Lepisosteus oculatus: one gene and its partner. The protein of the gene in region 1 binds, or shares a complex with, the protein of each later gene. Links are inferred from orthologs where the notes say so. Each region holds a gene or a part of one and is shown on either strand. Other genes may lie near its edges. The genes, in order: per2 and cry2.

What was found.
Region 2: the proteins of per2 (region 1) and cry2 are in contact, whole or in part, in a crystal structure (PDB 4U8H), measured with the Mus musculus proteins. The link is inferred for Lepisosteus oculatus from reciprocal best matches to the Homo sapiens genes PER2 and CRY2. Residues at the interface, in NP_035196.2 of Mus musculus: Tyr1132, Leu1134, Gln1135, Asp1136, Pro1137, Trp1139, Leu1140, Met1142, Ala1143, Asn1144, Thr1145, Ile1149, Met1150, Met1151, Thr1152, Tyr1153, Gln1154, Leu1155, Arg1158, Asp1159, Leu1160, Val1163, Leu1164, Asp1167, Gln1168, Lys1170, Leu1171, Leu1174, Gln1175, Ser1177; in NP_034093.1 of Mus musculus: Trp58, Ser63, Ser64, Val65, Lys163, Leu166, Thr167, Lys169, Arg170, Glu215, Leu216, Gly217, Phe218, Asn330, Pro331, Ile332, Cys333, Ile334, Gln335, Ile336, Pro337, Asp339, Asn341, Pro342, Glu343, Leu345, Ala346, Lys347, Ala349, Glu350.

The regions. Positions count from the first base shown.
Region 1 is NC_090708.1:8,121,113-8,131,258, reverse strand, and holds the start of per2 (period circadian protein homolog 2), read right to left. Parts: upstream 4,245-10,146; 5' UTR 4,069-4,244; intron 3,712-4,068; exon of another isoform or gene 3,469-3,711; intron 1-3,468. UniProt on the Homo sapiens protein: Transcriptional repressor which forms a core component of the circadian clock.
Region 2 is NC_090716.1:6,340,339-6,350,510, forward strand, and holds the start of cry2 (cryptochrome-2), read left to right. Parts: upstream 1-5,747; 5' UTR 5,748-5,928; coding exon 5,929-6,086; intron 6,087-7,088; coding exon 7,089-7,197; intron 7,198-8,893; coding exon 8,894-9,036; intron 9,037-10,172. Other genes in the region: slc35c1 (GDP-fucose transporter 1), read left to right, coding at 929-1,454, 2,320-2,882. UniProt on the Homo sapiens protein: Transcriptional repressor which forms a core component of the circadian clock.

The DNA of each region.
Region 1 (10,146 bases):
TTAAAACAAAAACCCGCTTTTTTATTCAGATTCTGGCTCATTTTCCATTTTGAGTAGGTTTTCTAGCCCATCCTCCGTAGTTCCCAATTGTAGGACTCAACAATTTCTGTACATAAGTGTCTGTGGTACATTTATAATAATAACAATAATAACAATAATAGCTTACACTTATATATCACTTTTCTGGACACTCCACTCAAAATGCTTTACAGGTAATGGGGACTCCCCTCCACCACCACCAATGTGCAGCCCCACCTGCATGATTAAGGTACTATAATAGGCTTAAACTTCTTAGATCTTCAGTCAGTCTCTGTTGCCATCTCCTAAATTTACTCCAAGAGCCAAAGAAGAAAACTGATGGCCCCATCCTTACACAAAACGTGCCATAGTCTTAAGCTCTGAATGTGTCTCAAAGATGATCTGTAACGGCGCACTCCTACTGACGGTCACTTTCCCCGCAACCATTTTCCAGTCTATTTCAACACACAACCCAGATGATACATCTATTTATGGCACACGCTCTTTGTAAACCAATCAATATTACTCTTTCCATACAAAACAATAAAAAGTTCTGCTTGAAACAGAATGCAATTTAAATTTTTGCTCTATCACAAGGACAACCAAACACTTTCTTCTGCATTAAAATTCCTTTAAGGTTCTTGGATTTACCTACTTCCCTCTAAGCAAGTCAATTTCCTTCACAAATCAAAAAAAAAAAACACTGGTCCAGTTTCATAGCAATCTCACCTCACCAATGTCCAAACTCTTCAATGAACTAAGTTTAAACTAGCTTGTCTCATACCTTTACTAATTATTGTAGGTTAATAGCAAGAAACAAAAGATACAAACCAAGCATTGTGACTAAAATATGCCATCCTCAAAGAATACATTCAAATTTACAAGTACTGCAATACATTTTTTCTTTGCCATTCCTTCACACAATACCATGATGGGACTCCCAACAGGTGGTTCACACGTTTAATTTTGCTGTTTGTTTTCTTCTGTATGCTTGATGTGTTTACAGTGTGTCAGTGGAAAAGTATAATATCTAAGGTCAGCAAAGTCCAATAATTTTACATTCTAGAACAGGCTAATATGATCTGCATGCAAACCCCTGTTTTTTTAATTCCATTTGTGACTCCAAAAGATCATCTTATGAATTGAGTGAAGATTCTGCTCTTCGTCAGTTTTTCCAGTCAAACCAAACAGTTAGACTCATGAAATGAGCCTTTTCCTATCAAGCTGCCCTTCAGTAACACTTACATCTTCAGCTTTCCCCCCACCAGCAGATACAGGCAGCAGATAAGCTTCAATATGAAGTTCAATACAATCTAAAAACTGAATGCAACATCTATAATAAGTACTTTCCGCATGGTATTGTATTCAAATAATTGAAGATAGTTTAGCCTTGGCTTTTCAATACAAAAAAAAAACTTTCCTTCAAGTAGCAGCAGATCAGGACAGAGTGTGAAGCAGCATTTAAGTCCCTTAAATCTCAACTTGAAGGCTGTGGGTTCAAATCTTGGGTCTACCCCTTGAGCAAGGAGCTTGTCTTAAATTGCTTCAGTAAAATGCTCTGCTATATGAATGTGGACAGATTTGGTCTCATCCATTTAAGCTAATTATAATAATTCCACTTTCCCTTTAAACTAATAAAAATGTAATGAAGTTTGATTAAACCGAGAACTGCATTTGATCTTGTGCTACTACAACATGTGGAGGACTTCAACTTGTCTTATATTATATGAATTATTTATAAAAGCATGATTGAAAATTAAGGGCAGATATAAAACCCCTCTCATTTGATATGCAAATTAAAAGCCACCCAAGTATACAATCCACAGTATACTAAAACTGGACATTCATCAACAAACGACCTACACGAAACATGTTCATATCATTTTTATTTCTGATATTAATCACATTTCTACCTGGATATACAACCTTAAATGAATATGAAGATTCAACTTGTTTTGCAATCACAATAAATTATACATGTTTAAAAGGAGAAAATACAAACGTACCCTTTTCACTTTACCAAGATCGGGTAAACTGTAATGAACTTTGTAAAACTAGCTAGATAGAACCAGCTGTACTCAATATGCTTCAGCAGTTCTCCTTTATCATGCAATTAGGGTTCAAAGATTTATTTGCCTGGCACAGAGGCTGTTCAGAAAATTATAGATAAGGAGGGTTTTAAAACCTGATAGAAAATGAAGATTGATTTCAAGGTTGGGAAATCATTTCATTTCGAGTTTCATTATTCCCAGATAATAAACTTAAACCTTTTTTGTAATTCTGACAATTGATCATCTAAATCCATAGATGTACAGTAGTATCCACAGGTAGCCCACACACCCACAAAAATGTTACATCAATAAAGAAATATGGAAATATGCTGTAACACAACCAAACCATCTCAAAAACAATGAACATAATGTTTAAAATTCCTTACAACTCAGATATCCATGCAACAGGTCTGACTGGCAACTCAGCATACTGTATACAATATAGAGGCACAGCTCAGTAAAGCCAGCTTAAGGTATTTAGGGCATATAATGTAGGAGAAACTATCATGCTGTATGTCTAATAACCTGTTTTCAGTGGGACAATGGGCTGTAGGGATATCGCATGAAGCAGACCAATGCAGCTAACCCTTAACAATCTCTTAAAACCGGCATATTCAATAAACGGACTAATAAATATTAAGGAGTGTATATTTGTGTCATCTAACATGTCGAGACAAACAAGGGTGAAAACGGAACGAAAGCAGAATATATCGCAAACAAAAAACTGCGAAATCTCTGTCAGTTGATTTGGAATGGTTGCACATTCAGGATTACACAGCTTTGTTGAATTACACCCACGCATAAGGCATTAGTTCGCTTTCCATTTGAAAATTAGGAAGAAAAAAAAAAGATTTTCTCCCTATCACGCGTCTAGTCAGCAACTGGCTACACTAGCCTACATCCTCCTGTCGCAACTGACCCAGATAGCGCCACCAAAAACTTGCTCTTAAATACCCCAACCCTTACAGAGAGCACACTGCACAGGTATACCCCAGACGAGTCATTTCACACACCAAACTATATATTACTGTATCAGTCGAATGAGCGAATTAACTTGTTAACAGGGGTATTCGTTCTAATCGGAAATGCAATAATGGTAGAAACGATGTCGTCATTTTAAGTGCAAGAATAACACTATATTACAATCAAAATACTTTTTATTTACAGCCTATGAGCCTCCATGGGTCACGAAAATATATCACTTCAAACGAATACAAGTATACTGGTCGCCACACTGGAGTGGACCTAATATCCTGGCTATGATAGTAAACCGGCTTGATATGATACCGAGTGAAGCTCTGAAAGCATCTTTTTCCAGCTCCATGTTAGTTTTCCCCCTTTCAATCTTTAATATATATGACCCATCATTAAGAAATAAGATGTGATAATAAATACTTGCCTTCTTCACTTAAAAACGACAAGCTCACGACCGGCAGGGTCTGCACTGACTGTAGCAAAGTTGCACGGCTGGTAACTGGATCAGCGAGGTCAAACCCGAGAGACAGGACTGCAGATAAACTCTCTGAGCGCCTGCAGCTCTGTCAGCCTCCGCGATGAGGCAACTTACTCGCGTCCCCCAGCTCTTTCCGTGCAGGAAAATGAACCAACACGACTATGTACAGTAGGCAGGGCAGGTGCTGTCAAGCAAGTGCTACTCCAGTGACCCACCGCAATCCCAGAGGAGGAAAAAAACGTTGACCCACCGGTGGTACGCTTACATAACAGACCCCCTATTTAAAATAAAAAAAATTAAGTCGCTAAATAAATCAGCGCGGCGAACAATTCTCATCTGAGAGAATGCAATACATGCAATAACAGACTGGGAAGAGCAGGCAAACTTTAGAGCACCGAATCACTCTTCATTTCATTCAAGCTAACAGAATCTCCAATCCAAAAGCGTGTCACCCATTCCCTAGTGTTACACAACCAGCTAGCGGGCGGTCTAGCACAGTAACACGGATAACTCTTCAGCCGCAAGAGCACATAAGCAAAGACAAACCTTGCGCGTAAAAAAAACGGGGCTCAGCTCGTTGCTCTCGTTGCTCTCCTGTGTTTGGTTTTACGGCAGGTAGCCTCCCGTTTGTGTCCTCAGGAACATTTGCTGCGCTCCAGTTTCTGAGTCTCGCTCGGCTCCACAGCTGCCCCGAAAACCTGGAGTGGCAAACGTGACCTCAATACGGGCTCCGCCCCGGCTCGGCGCCCATTGGCTCCCAGCCCCGGGTTTCCATGGCAAATAGTAGGCGATGAAGTCAGAGGACGCCAATTGGCTCGACGCGCCGCCAATCTATTTATGTAAGGCTGTCATAAGACTCACATGGAAAACCATGTTTGCAGGCAATGTGGGCGATTTCGTAGTAGTGTAAGCCCTGTGCTAACTGAATGAACGCTGCTGCTGGAAGGAGAGGGTTTGGTATTGGATGGTGAAATTTCGTTGATTGTTATCTAAACTATTATACAACTATTTTTTTGTGTGTGTGTTTCGCTGGCATTCCCTTTACTAAACACGTAATAGTCTGGGGGTGAACCTTTCTAAACTGCCCTGTGGTGCAGTTTTTTCCAAGAGGGCACGCATGCAGAATTATGTAAGTGATTACGGCATTTGTCAACTTGCACGTCTGGATGATGTTGCGTAGAGACATTTGTCGGCTGGCACTTACCTTTTTAATGTTATGAAATAGCGTGGTGGAGACACTATGAAATTCATGCATACAGCAGTACAACAGACTTCTGATCAATCAGTGTTTATTTATCAGATGCACAACAACCAATAACCATTTTCTTTCCTTACCAGATAAATGAATTTGTTTGAATAAAGTTTAAGCATGTATAAAAAGAAGGTCTACACAATGCAGTTCCTTCACAAATCGTTGATAATTGTATAATAATTCTATGGATTACTCGTGCAGATACTCCGTTTGTTTTGTTTGTTTTTTGGTTCTGGGATTGTGTGGTTGTTGCAGATACCGCACCTATGGTATGTGTCCATGCGATTTTGGGGTTTGTTTTGTTGTCAGTCCTGGTGACTGTTGTGTAACGCCAGCGACACCTGCTCCGTGGTCTCATGCTGTCCGTGTGGACGCGGTTTCTTCACGAAACCCGGTTCGGGTTCTGAGGTAACAGGAAGGAACGCGTGCACGTGCTGAAATTCAGTGTGTTCCACTGATATAATTCTGCATCGGGGCTTAAATGGCGAAACCATCCCACATTTTTGCTAAATATCTTCTGGGGATGAGGCATTGTCCTGTACTGTATATAAAATATACATTTACATTATTAGATAGAGGTTGTTGCGTCGAGGGACGAAAACCGTTACTATAAGACTTCTATTAATCCCACGTTAAATAGCTTTTTATGATGAAACAGGGCTACTGCCGTATATCATTTTTGGACCAGATCAGTCATGAGTGAAAGCGCTACGCTGTGTTGACAGGGATGCTGTTTTAATTGAATCATTACACAATCACAAAGATCTATGTTTTCCCATTACATAAGGCGACACTGCGGGCCACATTGTGATATGGAGCTACATTTTTATTAAAACACCTGCAAATCAGACGGTATTTTTGAGGCACGGCTTATCTCAGCACTTTTCACGTGGATTGTGCTAGTCTTTCTCTTTTATACGATTCGCTATTCGATAAAAGCGTTAGAACCGCCAAAGCGGCAGAATAAAATGTATTAAGTTCTAAGCAGAAAACAGAAAAGTCGTTTACTACATTTAGAATATTGTCATTTAACTACTGCTAAGAGGAAAACGTCCTCCTATGTGCTTTAGTCTAGAAAGTAGTACAGCAGAGTTAGTAGAGCAGTAGTACCCCTTTTGGGTGGGGCATGTGTAATTTTTATAACATTTTATAAGTGCTTTAGTGTCATGGGGGAGCCAGAACCTATTCTGGCAAAGCCATGGACACAAAGCAGGATACACTCTGGATGGGGAACCAGTCCAATTGCAGGGCACAGGAAGTTACCATATGACTCTGGACTGTGGAAGAAAACCAGGGCACCCAGATGAAACCCACACATACATGGGGAGAACATACAAACTCCATCCACACAGCATCCCAGGACCTGAACCCAGGGCCCCAGCGCTACAAGGCAGGAACGCTAACAGCTGAGCCACCATACTGCCCCATAATGTTATATATCCCTTAAAATTCAGATTCTACACTTCAGTGTACAGTTCTTACATTTCAGTGAAAGTATCCTTCTGTAATGTGCGGTAACATCTTTTATGTATTTTTAAATGATTGTCTTTTGAGGCCCAGTGTGTGGGACAGGAGTGGGTCATGTTCATGTGTTTATTACCACAATGGCAAAAACATTTTTGTTACAGGCTTGCACTCAAGGAGCACCAACATTTCAATTCAAAATACTTTATTCATCCTCACAGGAGCAATTTAAGTGCAAAGTTTTTTAATGCCCTAGTTGTACTGACTATTTTTCTCTACTATAATTATTGTAAAAACTGCAGTTATATAGTGTGGGCCAGTTATGAAAAATAACATCCCTAAAATTTTAAAACAATGTGACAGTTGTTAGATTTGACTTCTTTTTACACTGTGGATGTCCAGACAGTGTCAAAGAAGGATGTAGTGAACATGGGTCTGAGAATCCATCTAGGTTGCAAGCATGTTACACTCACTACTGAAATGTCAGTCCCTCTCACAAGCCTCTTGCTGGATACCTAGGTAACGTGTGGGCGGTTATAATCCACCACCAAATCAGGTATAGAAGTGAGAAATTACTTCACCGATTGAATTGAGAAGACTGGACTTTGGCCAGGGCACCGAGAGAACAACTCTTTCTGACAGTGCTGTCAGGTCTTGACTGGGCAAGCAATCAGGATCACAGGTTAGAGGCACATCCGAAGGAAGGAACCTCTTGCAGTCCAACGGTCCTTGTTTCCATATTTGAGGAACAGATTGGAATTCCCAGCGTAAGGGTAAGAGTGACCCCTAATGGTCCACCCAATAAATATACTTGTGCATCAGCTTGAAATTCCTATGCTGTGAACATTTCACAAGCTCCCTGTCAGAGGACTTTAACCTGCTAATTTATAAGGCACTGAACAGTCTAGCTCCAGATTATCCTAAGGAGATAGTTTATACATGGGTTCATACTTCATGCATGAATGTAGTCCAATTCCCATTCTTAGTCACTACCAAAGCCCAATTTCCTCATAATCAGGCAACAGATCTTTTTGTGTATAACACCATATCCACAACTATTTGTTTTCCTCAAGCCCAGTTACTATTGATTTTGTTTTTTTAGCATCAGGTTTTGAGTGTTTGAGTTTTACTGTGCTCTCTTTCTCAGTTGTTTACTTCTGTTACATGTATTTTATTTTTGCGTTATATTACAGTACATTTGTTTTGTGATATTTGCTTGCACATCAAATTGTATTCAAATTGAAACAACTGCATTCGCTTTAACATGTGGGCACAGTACCAATAAACTCTATAAATGTTTAAATCTACCATGCAACAAGATATAAAGTATGCACTGTAAGAATTGTCACTGTTGCAACAATCAAAATAAAAGTTTTTATCAAAGAAAATTGAACCGTGCATTTTCCAGGAGGAAAATTAAGGAATTGGGAGCGACCTTAAGATGACTTCCAGAATTGGCACATACACTGTATCATTGGTTAACACAAGGAAATGCTGGAGAGACAAATGACGTAAAACTTCCATTTGCTAAAAAAAAATCTTGGCAAGTATTCCACTAGAAAGGAATGTCTCTGGGTACTTGGGCTTACACATAAAAAATGTTTTAAAGTAACAGCAGGATGTCTGGTGGAAAAGTCTTACTCTGACTAAGAATTAAATTATTTTAGTGATACAGCCTGAGACAGTTAATCCTTTAAAACATAATTCATCATAAAGGAGGTTTTGTTCCATGAAACCTTACAGTACAGTAGGTATATTCTTAATACCTGATATACCTGAATTAACATTATAAGCCCAACTTCACCACAGATTGGAAAAGTAAACTAAAACAGCTGTACATTTTGGAAAGTTTCATTCATGCCCTTTTCCGAATTTATGCCTCAGTAGGTTTCAGTCGTATGGAAACATTCGTAAGAATCACTGGAGAATTACCTTGGAAAAATTCAAAGTGAAATCCTTTTGAACCTTTGATGAAGTTGTAAGTGATCTATGCAGGTGCTATTTGGATTACTTCTTTGATATGGACACAGTGGTTAATTCTTACAAAAGATAAATATAGTGAATGTCATTTCCATACGAGCTATGGCAGAAATACCAGTGTACAGTCCAAACATTAATTGCACCATTGAAATTTCAACAGCTGAACAATTTAAATAAACTTTTAAGTATTTTGACATTACACTTTACAAGTTACATTACTAAGACGACATGTGAATATACAGTAAATAAAAAGAGTACTGAAGAAGCATTTTTATAGCACGGAAAAAAATCCATATTCACAAAACTGTTTTTATTACTATCTTCTAAGGTTACATGAATATCTAATAAAGAGCTGAATGTTGTTTGTGTTAAAGAGAGTTGGAACACATAATTGCTAGCTAAAGGAAGCTTTTTAAAATGTCTTGCTAATATTATTTTATTGTAAGTGTTTTTATCACAAGCACCAAATTTGCTTGGACCAGAAATTTAAGAAAAATGCCAGGAACTAGAGATATGTTAGCTCAGGATATAGAGGTTGTGTTGTGAGGATTGTAGATAGAGCTGAGGAGGTACAGTGAACTGTTTAAAAGATGCCTTCCCTAATTTCTACCATGAAATGAATCACTGCTCACTTTTTTCAACACCATCTCTGACTGGTTGGGGAGAAGTGATCTTATCCAAGCCTGTGTGACATCTCTACCTTTTTCAGCAAATACTCCTTCCAGACAGTAAAGATTAGAGGTTGTCTAAATCATCTTGGAGAACACTCAATGATTTCCTGTCTAGTGGCCAATACGTCTTCAGATGTTTTCCCTTTGGCATCTGGCAGAGGGAATGGCTGATGCTTGAGGTTTATTGTCAGTACGGTGTTCAACATGGGGAAGTAGAATTGAGGAATGGCTCCATTTATGAATGAACTAGTGAACATCCCCCTGAAGTCAGTCTGGACTGCTGTTGTTACGTTTCAGTGCCATAGGATTCCAGTATCACATCCCCCTGACTAAGCATGACTTTGCCTAATCTCAACCTCGCAAAAAAGATCAGCATCTTCCTCCACCACCAAAAGCCAAGCTCTCGGTTGGATCCACACTATCATTATGGACCAGAGAAGAATTACTGCTTACTTAAAACAAGGATCTAAAATTAATGAAATGGAGCTTGATTAAACAATAAAAATAGTAGACTTACTGCAAATGGGTATAAATGACAAGTATTTCAGACTTCTTCATTAAACTACCAAGGTATTATTTTATAGATTGTTATAGACCCAATGTTAAAAGGAAGGTAAAGTGGCTTGTAACTACAGGTAGCTAATGAATGTAACTAATGAATATAAATTAATGAAGTAAAGCCTTCCTTTGTTCATGTGAAGGTTCCTTTGTGCACAGATGCAAAGGCTTAGTTTGTAAAATGAGGATTAGAATGAACATTGTTAAATGTGCCGTTCGAAGACAACAGCTTTTATTTACCGATCTTCATATTTGTTGCCATCCTAATGCTGCACCCCTGCCACCTTTTGCTACTCAGAAATAAACAGCTGTTTCTTGTTTAGTTCATCTAGCTGCCCTTAAATTGTGGCGTTTAGATTTATTAAACAAAGGACAAAGAAGGCAACTGATTGAAGAACAAGAGGAAAATCATCTTAACAGATTTATTTATCTTAGCATTGAGGATTGTGGGTAGCAGAGGGAAAACATTTAGTAATTTCAGATTCAGATCAGTAACTGCAGATATACAGATGGAATTTAAAATCCAAAATGAATATTTCTGCAGTTTTAGGAAAAATATTAATATGAGTCAATCAAGAAAAAAAAATGTTAAGAAATACATTTATACCTTTTATAGTTCTAGTAAACACAATTGGCAGAATGAAGCAAGTTAACTCTGTTCTGTTGCAGAAGCTGTAATGGCAATTGAAGAAGACATTA
Region 2 (10,172 bases), on another chromosome or scaffold:
TAGTTGTTCAATTAGCATAGCCTTTATAATTTAAGATTTTATTACTGTTGCTAGTTAATTTTTAACGTGGTTAGAAATCATATTGACTATATATATAATGACTATACTGTATTGACTGACTATAAACGTATGTACATTAACAGTAGCTTTGCTGTCTATTCTAATTACTACTTTAATGCCAGTCGTGCTTTTGACTGAAATTAAGCATGGGAGCGTGTGTAACCCGTCGTGTGAAACTGTACATATTTCAGACGTTCAGGTGCTTAAGAGTTCGTTTCTTCTTCTCTGGTGCAGAGGCGATATTTCACATTTTTAGTCATGCTGGCGCTTTAAGACAGCAGGATCTTGATGTCTGAAGGAGGGACTAGGGCCCTGCATTTCTAGTCTGACGTGTGCATTAAGAGATAGGGGTTAGGGAGCGTGCGATTTGGAAAGGATGGGGAAGAGGGTAGTTCCGTGCTGCAAAACGCAATGTTTCGACTGTGGAATCTTCCTTGAGTGTTCGGTTCCACGGCCCGACGCGTTCATTGTGTCGCTGTTTCTTATATGATTTTCGCGTGAAATGGACCTACTTGTTCCGTATTAGGCGTGGTAAAAAGAAACACAACACAAGGAAGATAACCGGTTTTTCGTACTGCGGGGCTAATAGTTGGGGCAGGGTTTGGAATTTCTTCTGCCTTTGTTGTAAGGATTCGTGTGTGGAGTGACGTTTTTTTTTTTTGCTAAAGTATCTTCACAGAGGTTTGCGACCACGCCTACATGGTTGTGGACTCGAAACGCCTGGTTTTTCAGTGAGGCTGGTAGGTGGGAGGACTCAGGAAGTTGACAAGGAAGGAAAAGAGCCCTCGTACGTGTGAAAGGTCGTGGGCACCGCGTACAGTCATCACATGTAAAACGTTTCGCTTATTTTGTGCTTCTTTGTTTTGTCATGAACAGGACCCAGTTGAAGCGTTCGAAAATTTTGAAAATGGCCCTTATGCAGTCTGATTCTTTGGACCAAGAAGGAAAAACGGATTCTTTCTTAATGAAAGCCATTAAAATAGCCTTAGTGGTTGCTCTTTATTGGTTCATATCAATTACCATGGTTTTTCTAAATAAATACCTTCTGGACAGCCCTGCCTTAAAACTGGACGCCCCTCTGTTCGTGACATTTTTCCAATGCTTCGTGACTGTGGGGCTTTGCTGGTGTATGAGTCTGCTGTCCAGGTTGTGTCCGACGTCTGTGGAGTTCCCGTCTGTCAAACTCGACCTCAAGATGTCCAGAGAGATCCTGCCCTTGTCTGTTGTGTTCATCGGAATGATCACATTCAACAACCTGTGCTTGAAATATGTCGGGGTGGCATTCTACAATGTTGGGAGATCGCTGACCACTGTATTCAACGTGTTAATGTCCTATTTAATTATCAAGCAAACCACGTCTTCCTATGCCTTACTCTGCTGTGGAGTCATAATAGGTACAGTATGCTGTTCTTATTTATTTTCTTCGTTCTTTATTTTATCACCTGCTTTTACTGGAGGCGCGCTGTCACGTTAGACACACAGTGTCCCGTAATGGTAAATTATTCTGCAGGCAGTCTTATTGTCTTCCTTTGGAACAAGGCTTCATATAAGTGATTAACACGCAGACATGCCCGTACTTCCTAAATAAAGCACTTTGCAATGTGAATCCAGCACGTTGTGTCAACCAGCACAGCTCTGAAGTAAGGCTGAAAACTGTCCAAGTATGTTTGCATCTACTCTTTATATATTTTGCCGGTTATAAATATATATTGGTATACAGAAAAAGTCATTACCATTTAGAAAGTTATTGAACTAATGATTTTAATAAAAATTTGTTTTAACCAATGATGTGCTCTTGGGTCTTGAAATCATTTGTCCTTAACCTTTTTTGATTAATAAAATCATAAACTCACTGTTCAGCATTAATCCCTTGGCTGAAGCTCTGCAGGATGATTCCTGCTTTTCCAATAGTATTGATTTCTGAAGAAATAAGTCCAGTAAATTTGACAACAAAGACATAGAATTCAATTAATTTTACATAAATCAAACAAAAGTAAAACGGTGCTTGATTATAAATCTTCCTCGAACGCTTAAATATTTGTTGTTGTTTTTAAACAGGAGAACTTTTGTGTGCAAGAACTAGGTTGTGAGCATCATCTACCACTGGAAGCTTTTTTTAAAAATCTTGTAGCAATTCTACATTAATGGCTATACAAGTCATAGTCATAGCTGTGCTTCAAACTGTAAGCGCAAACTGTATGTGGAGGGCAAAGGTAACCCATAACCTAATTTTTTTTTGTTCTCCTTGTTTCTGCACAGGAGGCTTTTGGTTAGGTGTGGATCAAGAAGGGGCAGCCGGGTCACTGTCCTGGACAGGAATCATGTTTGGAGTTCTTGCCAGCCTGTGCGTTTCACTCAACGCCATCTATACCAAGAAAGTGATGCCGGTCGTGGATGGCAGCATATGGAAACTAACCTATTATAACAACGTCAACGCCTGCTTCCTGTTCATTCCCCTCATTGTGGTCTTTGGGGAATTTAAAACACTCTTCTACTTCGACAAATTAGACAGCTGGTACTTTTGGGGTATGATGACCTTGGGAGGGGTCTTCGGCTTTGCTATTGGCTATGTCACTGGCCTTCAGATTAAGTTCACAAGTCCATTGACACACAATGTGTCAGGCACTGCAAAGGCTTGTGCTCAGACAGTCTTGGCTGTTATCTACTCTGAGGATACCAAGAGCCTTTTGTGGTGGACTAGCAACCTAATGGTATTGGCTGGCTCTTTTGCCTATACCTGGGTCAAAGGACTGGAAATGAAGAAACTTCAGCAAGACCCACAGACTAAAAGCACTACTGCCAAAAATGACTCAGGTATTTAGAGTGCAGACCAGGAGCCATATAAGCAAACATGTGATGAGTCTCCAAAGTGCTTTTTGGATCTTTTCTATTGTGAATTGTACAACTGATGCTCAGACTGCAAGTAGGAAAAGCCCTGGCATCAAACTGTGGATGAAAAAGAAGATTTCTGAACTGTTTAAACCTGTTTGTTTGTTTTGTAGTTGTAAAATTACTTTAGCTAAAGAAAAAAAATATTTTTTAAGTTTCTTTAAAAGTCTGTAAATAAAGAACATTTTAAGAGGTGTGTAAGATATCTCTTTATTTTAATGACTAGTTGTGTAATATTTCTGTCCAAGCAAAGTAATAAATCAAATATCTAAAACAAACCTTGAAAAGTACGAGCTGTATTGTACATTATTTTACTCAAGTGATTGAAATGAATCTTCATCATAACATAATACAAAGAAAAAAATAATTAGGACATTGATCATCTTTGCCAACAGAGCCCCCTTATATCACGTTCCTGGCTCTTGTGTATATATATATACTCACAGATGCCCCTCTGCATGGTGCACAGCTGCTTTGATGGAGGCAGTGGTGAAGCTGGTAAGTGGGTCTGAGGCTGCCAGATGGTCTCGGTGTGTTACTTAGTCACCAGGCCCCTCTTGGACAGGAGGTGGTTCCTGCTGCCTTCACACCTCCCATGGCTCCATCCCTGGCAGGAATGGGGGTGCCCTCTCTCTGACGGCCTCAGCAGTTGGAGACGTGTAGGATGCAACCCTGGAAATGAAGGTGAGCCCCACGTCCAGCCAGTCCTACAGGCAGCCTTCTCCCTCCTGTGCTCCCGGACCTCGATCTGAGCCCAACCCCCAGCCAAGTTCACAGAAGTTCTCCCTGGTGTTGAGAGAGTGACTGCAGCTATCCTGGCTAGTGGAACCGCAGCACTGTCATTTCATCTACCTGATCCTGTTGGTTCCCCCCTCGGTGACCACATGGCAACCCTGTAGTCCTGGATTTCCTGGATGGGCTTCAGTCCTCCTGGGAAAACCTGGTATCTGCCCTTGTGAGATCACTGCGATTCAATGTGTTAATTTACACTGCCATCATTAGGTCCCCAATGTATCTCAACAAAGTGCCGAATATCAGAGTCTCCTTTATGAGACATTGGGGTTGAAGGCTTTTGCTGTTAATGTGGCCAGTGTTTTACTGAATCCATCTCACACTGGCCTGTGTTATTGTGGGGATGATGGGTTTCACCTTTAACAAACTACAGACTAAACTGCTACCCTGCCCATCTGACATGATTTAGTGCACAGGCACCAGTGTTAAATCTGAAACATCATTTCTAGAATCGAAGATGTCATATCCACACATTATTTCAAAGACCATTAGACAAGGCAGAAAAATGCTAGGTGGATCACCACAGTTCAGTGCTAGATGTGTGATTTATTTCTTAGCTTTTTGGATGGTATTCTAGACCTTACACAAGTATGTAAATTGAGGACTGGATAAAAAAACTTTCCAAGGTAGTTTGCTAAATTGTTTAATTAAGTATTGTCCCATTTTAGTGATGGTATGTTTTAAATTAATTTCCAGCATGCTTCACTGAAGTAATATTTAAAATGTGTAACACTGGACACACCAGGCACATATGCATACAGTATATAGTGATTCAGAATCCCAAAAGATTATTTTAATGAGTAATAAGTTTCACGAGCTTCATGTAGTTTTTAAGCTGTATTTATGCTTTTTTAAAATCCTATAAAGGGGCTTTCACTCACATGAACTCTTTCTAGACTGCTTTGCTATGGGCAAAATACAAAAACGATAAACATAGTTTGAGCAAAAGCAGCTGTCCAGATCAAAACTACACTTTAATCATATCATTTAAGGAGAATAATATTAATTTCTGCAGAAAAAAATATTCAGCTCTGATTTTAAGCTCCATATTCCCAAATCCTCAATTAGTCAATATTGAATATAGAATCAGAGTATATAATTATAGAAACCACAAAGAAACCAGTTATAATTGTGTCTGTTATTTTCTGCTTTTGAATGATTGTTTACACAGTATTGCTGTATATTATGATGGATTTTAGTTATTGATTTAAAAAAAAAAACTTGAGGGCCATAGTCTAATTTGTGTATCTTCCCCAAAACATTATACTGTATTTTACCAAGGGAAATACACTCTGTATGTTTAACATTAAGAAAGTACTAGTCTTTGTACAGAGATGCAACCTTATGATAACTGGAAAATAGTTCATTAGAATGACCCCAGTAAAAAAAAGACCTGTTTTTATTGTATTTAATAGGGTTTGTGAAGTCATATTAGGTCGTAACTTGTACAAAACGATGCCTGCTTCTGTAACATAAAATCGCTAGGTGTCATAGTAGAGTTGCTGAATTTCAAATAAGAAACCATGACCTTACTCATAGTTTAAGTATACAGTACTATGCTTAGAAATTTCTGGATAAAATGGTACCCTATTAGGTTTGACCGCTCGCTAGAGCACATTTACGGTATGTAAAACAGGATAAATAGTCGTCTGTATCAATCAGCCTATTTTATTTTTTAATTTGAAATAAAAACAAAACCCGAGTGTTTTTACGATTTTGTACTTCACAACACACAATACGCACATCATATTTCACTGTCGTAAGAAAACCCGCCTTATATAAGAGCGCTAGGGTAAGTCACGTAACTGCCAGACAACGTAATGTACTGTCCGTGATGAGACGATTCTTCCAGCATTTTTTCCCTACTTTATTTCCGATCCCAGGTTAATTCCAACAACACACCAGAGAAACGTGACGGGGCGTGTCCTACATGTGATCAACAACCAATCGATTAGGAACTGGGCGGAAACTTGTTGTAATAGTCTGAACACGTGTCACCTGTAAGCCAATAGGCGTTGCACTCGGAGGGAAAGGCTCCAGTTCAGCAACATTGACTGTGCGCAAACTTGTGGAGGTGGAACAGCTTGGCAGTTGAAATCACTTTTCAAGCTTAATATGGACTCTTTTCGACGGAATTCTGGTTAAAGATTGTGACTGGTGTTTTCTTAAGGTTTGCAAATCGACATCATGGTGGTGAATTCCGTGCACTGGTTCCGCAAAGGGCTGAGGCTCCATGATAATCCGGCTTTACAGGAAGCTTTGAATATTTCGGACACAGTGCGATGTGTTTACATTTTGGATCCCTGGTTTGCTGCATCGGCTAATGTAGGAATCAACAGATGGAGGTTTGTCTTTTATGCTACGTGATTGCATCGTGTGTCCCATTCAGTGCGTTAATGGCGTTCTAGTTTGAATCAGCTTAGTTTTCTAAACATTTGTGTGTCACGCCAGAGTCGTCACTGCTCGTGTTGGAAACACATGAACGTGGTTTGTGCAGTATCACAGAGCAGAGGCATACGGGGTGTCCGTGTCTTTTTCTGTCCACTTCCAGAGGTCACTGCATGGCGAATATTATTACATCACTGTAAGGCCATATGACTGCTCTTGCATTTAGGTGAACCTTTTGCCAAAATGAAACTTCGTTTCCATTTGTCTTGGCAACAATGTACATTGCAAGTAGGAATGGTTACATGTGTTTGCGTCCTGATTAGGATAACCCACTGCCTTTATCACGCAAAGTTATGCAGTGACTTGCAATTTTCGTGATCAGTGTTACCTTTTAAGATCTTCATTTTGTACTATAGTAACTAGTCTTGTTTAGTTTTCAGATATTTGTAAATAATTTGACGGGTTTGAATACAAATCAGTTAGGATTTTATATTGAGAATGCCGTCCCAGTAAACCTCTTGCAAGTTGATAATGCTGTCATTTCATTTCTGAATCCAGAGAAATAATTTAGGGATATAAACTATTGCAGTCCCTCCTGACCACCTAATAATTATGTTGTGAAGAGAATGGATGGAGAAATGTCTCAATGTCTGAAAAAAGACTCAAAACAACAGCAGAACCACAGCAGGAATCGATTACAGAGATCTGGGAACAAGTTCAGCTAAATGGATTAGTTACCCTCAGTGCCTGAGAACCCTGTTGTCCAAAAACTTGATGAGATGGGGTTTTCCCAAGACCAGGGTTGGAAACCACTGAGGAGCAGGAAAGCTAAAGGATGGCAGTGGTCATGTGAAATGTGACTGAATTATTTTGCAAAGTAGACAATTTGCTAGTTATCTCAAGGGTTTTAAAGATCCTTTTTACTCGACAGTTTAGGCTAACTTTATTCTCTCATTTAGATTCCTCCTTGAATCATTAGAGGATCTGGACGCCAGCCTGAGAAAACTGAATTCCCGACTGTTTGTTGTGCGAGGGCAGCCAGCAGATGTGTTTCCCAGATTATTCAAGGTAAGCTCTGTCGTTCTGTCTCTCTCATGATATTGACATTCGTTCCATTTTTATCTGCTGACTGTGCTCATTGAACTTTTGCACACATTGAAATCTGTCTACTGTAACTATTGTCGATTTACATTATGGTAGTTTTACTGCAGCAGTCCGAATGAAGGGTATTTCTCAAGGGTAGAGCAGTACACATCTGGGATTTGAACTCACAACCTTCCAATTGAGAGCTAGATTCCTAACTACTATTCCTGCATGCATCATTTATTTTGCTCTTAAGAAGTAGGGTAAATTTCAAGGAATTCAACTGAAATAATATGTACTTAATATTCTGTTTAGTAGTATTTTTTGATTTTCTTTAATGTATTACAATGCATCGTTCATCATGGAGATTCCTAAATAATCTTTGTAAGTAGTTTTATTGTTCTGTAAATGTCTTTCGTGAAGACTGTTCTAAAATGTGAATAAGTGTTTTTTTCATCTGGGTTTGGATCTTTACTACTAACTGGAGTCACCGAGGTCATTAGGAGTTCATTTTTAATTAGCTTAATTTGAAGAGTGTTGCTGTTGGTCTGTGACGGCATGCAGAGTATTCTTTTACTATATTTAATGGGAAATGTTCACGTTAATGGGGAAATAAAGAGTTCCTTTTCAGCATCTATTGACTCTGTCCTTTTTTTAATAAGATAAAGCTCGATATTCATCAAAATTTGCTCACAATTTCTTTGAGAATGATCTTCATCATGAGGGACATGGAGTTCTTAGTGATATTTCAATATCTCAAGAAAATGTGATATGATATAATCTTTTGTGACAGTATCCACTCTTCACATTTCACTTTCATCAAGATCAAGCCTAATGTGTGAAGTTATTGAAGTTCCTTGTCATGAAATCAATATCCTCAGCACATGTCTGTTTGAAGAGGCTAGTAACATTTTCTGCTGCTTCTGCTAGGGAAATGAACTCATGAAAGTGTTTTGCTTAGGTTCTGTTTTTGAAAATTGCTTCAAAGAAGATTCATTTTAGCAATATATTTAAATACTTAAGAAAATTTCTAGATTTAATCATACAATTAAGGCTTTCTAGTTTTAGATTTAAATGGCAATTTCACTGTTGAGTCATTCCTAATTAAACGATAGCTTTTTTGGCATGATTTATAAGACTGATTTTGAAAAAGCTTTTAGCTATGCATTATGAAGGAGCAGAACTATTATGTGCTTTTATCTGTTTTTCTCCATCATTATGAGATGTCTCACTCTTGTGTTAAAAGTCACAGTATTTTCCCTTTCAGGAATTTCTGGTGCTTGTGTATAGGAAAAACAGTAAAGATTCATTCCATGCTGAAAAGAGAAGAAAAGAAACTCAACATTTCAGCTGTGAAGCCTTCTTTGAGTCCATTGGGTAAACAATGGACATTTTTTTAGTACAGACTGCAAAATATTTCTTCATAGCATTTGTTACATATGAGTAAAATCTTATGTTGTGAAGAGGAATTGTTTGATTAGGAAGGAGTTCTCTTACGAACCTCTTTCAGGTTAGCACAGGCCAAATGAATAGCTCTTTTAATGCCCTTCACATAGCAAAAATAGCTCAAGCATGTTTATAGTTTATGAATGATGAAAAATTACTTAAACCACTCTTAATCGGATTTTGTTTCAGAATACCAAAAATGTCTGACCTGTTTATTTTCCTTTTTGCCCTGCAGGAATGGAATGTAACACACCTGACTTTTGAATACGACTCGGAGCCGTTTGGGAAAGAGAGAGATGCTGCGATCATGAAGCTGGCACGGGAGTCAGGAGTGGAAACAATTGTACAAGAATCCCATACGCTGTACAGTTTAGACAGGTGAGGCAATGCTGAAAGTAGCAGTTTCGTATTTTATTTCTCAAGAAAATTGTTGTGTTAGTGTACAAATGCAGCCATTTGATTTAAATAATGAAATGAATTGCTTAATATGTGGTTTTGCTTTGTTTCTGTTGGGGCAAAAAACAATTTTGCATCAAGCTATATGTATGTACAGTTCAGACAAAAGTTAGTAAAAAAGATTAATTTGGTCTCTGACAAGTTAAAATTAACTAAATGCTGAAAATAGGTTATTGACACTTTGTGACCATGCAAAGGGGCTTTAGTGGTTTCTGAAGTAATTAGATTCCTTCAAATATTTTCACCTGCAGCTGTGAACATGCTGCTGCAGAAACTGTAATCATCATGAAAAGCAATTAATGTTTTTTTTCTGGAATTGTTTCTCCAACTAGTAAAACCAGAGTGATTATGAAGTCTTTTGTAACCTGTGTCAGTGTGTATACTTGTAGAAGGTTATTAGGAATACCACCCAGGAAAGATAGATATCTGTATAAAAGATGGAATTCCTAGTATAAACAGCAATTGACTGGTTTTGTGAGAGAATTGAAAGGCTGGTTTTGAACCTAGTAAAAATCCAAGTATGAAACTGTTGTTTGTTCTTACTGAAAGTATGTGAAATCACGAGAGCCTTTCACCCTTCTCTGTAAATATAATTGATTAAAGTAGACAGCATGTGTCATGTAACCTGTATATGTGAGATGTTATTTTTTTATATGATGTCTTCAGCTGCACATAGTTTCTATTCCAGTCCTTTGTATTTGTGTCTAATGGAGGCGATGCTACCACCTAGTGGTGCGCTGCACTAATTATCAGGCACACTACCCAACATGTGCAGACAGTGGGTGGTGGAATAGCTGTGCTCTACAGTCACCATTGCAAACATGTGCCTTCAGGAGCGTGCAGCCATGCAGCACTAGGCACATGTAAGCCGCCTGAGACAGGGCATTCTGGCAGGAAATGACAGAATGGGAGTGGTTAACTGGTTACCGATATAGATGGAGTTGCATAAGCTGAGGGGGTGGATCTGATCTTTTTCTGCTGTTCATTAGTTCCATGCACCCCATTTATCTCAGAATTCTTTTGTCAGAAATAATTGTGAGCTTTTTTTCTTTTTTTAT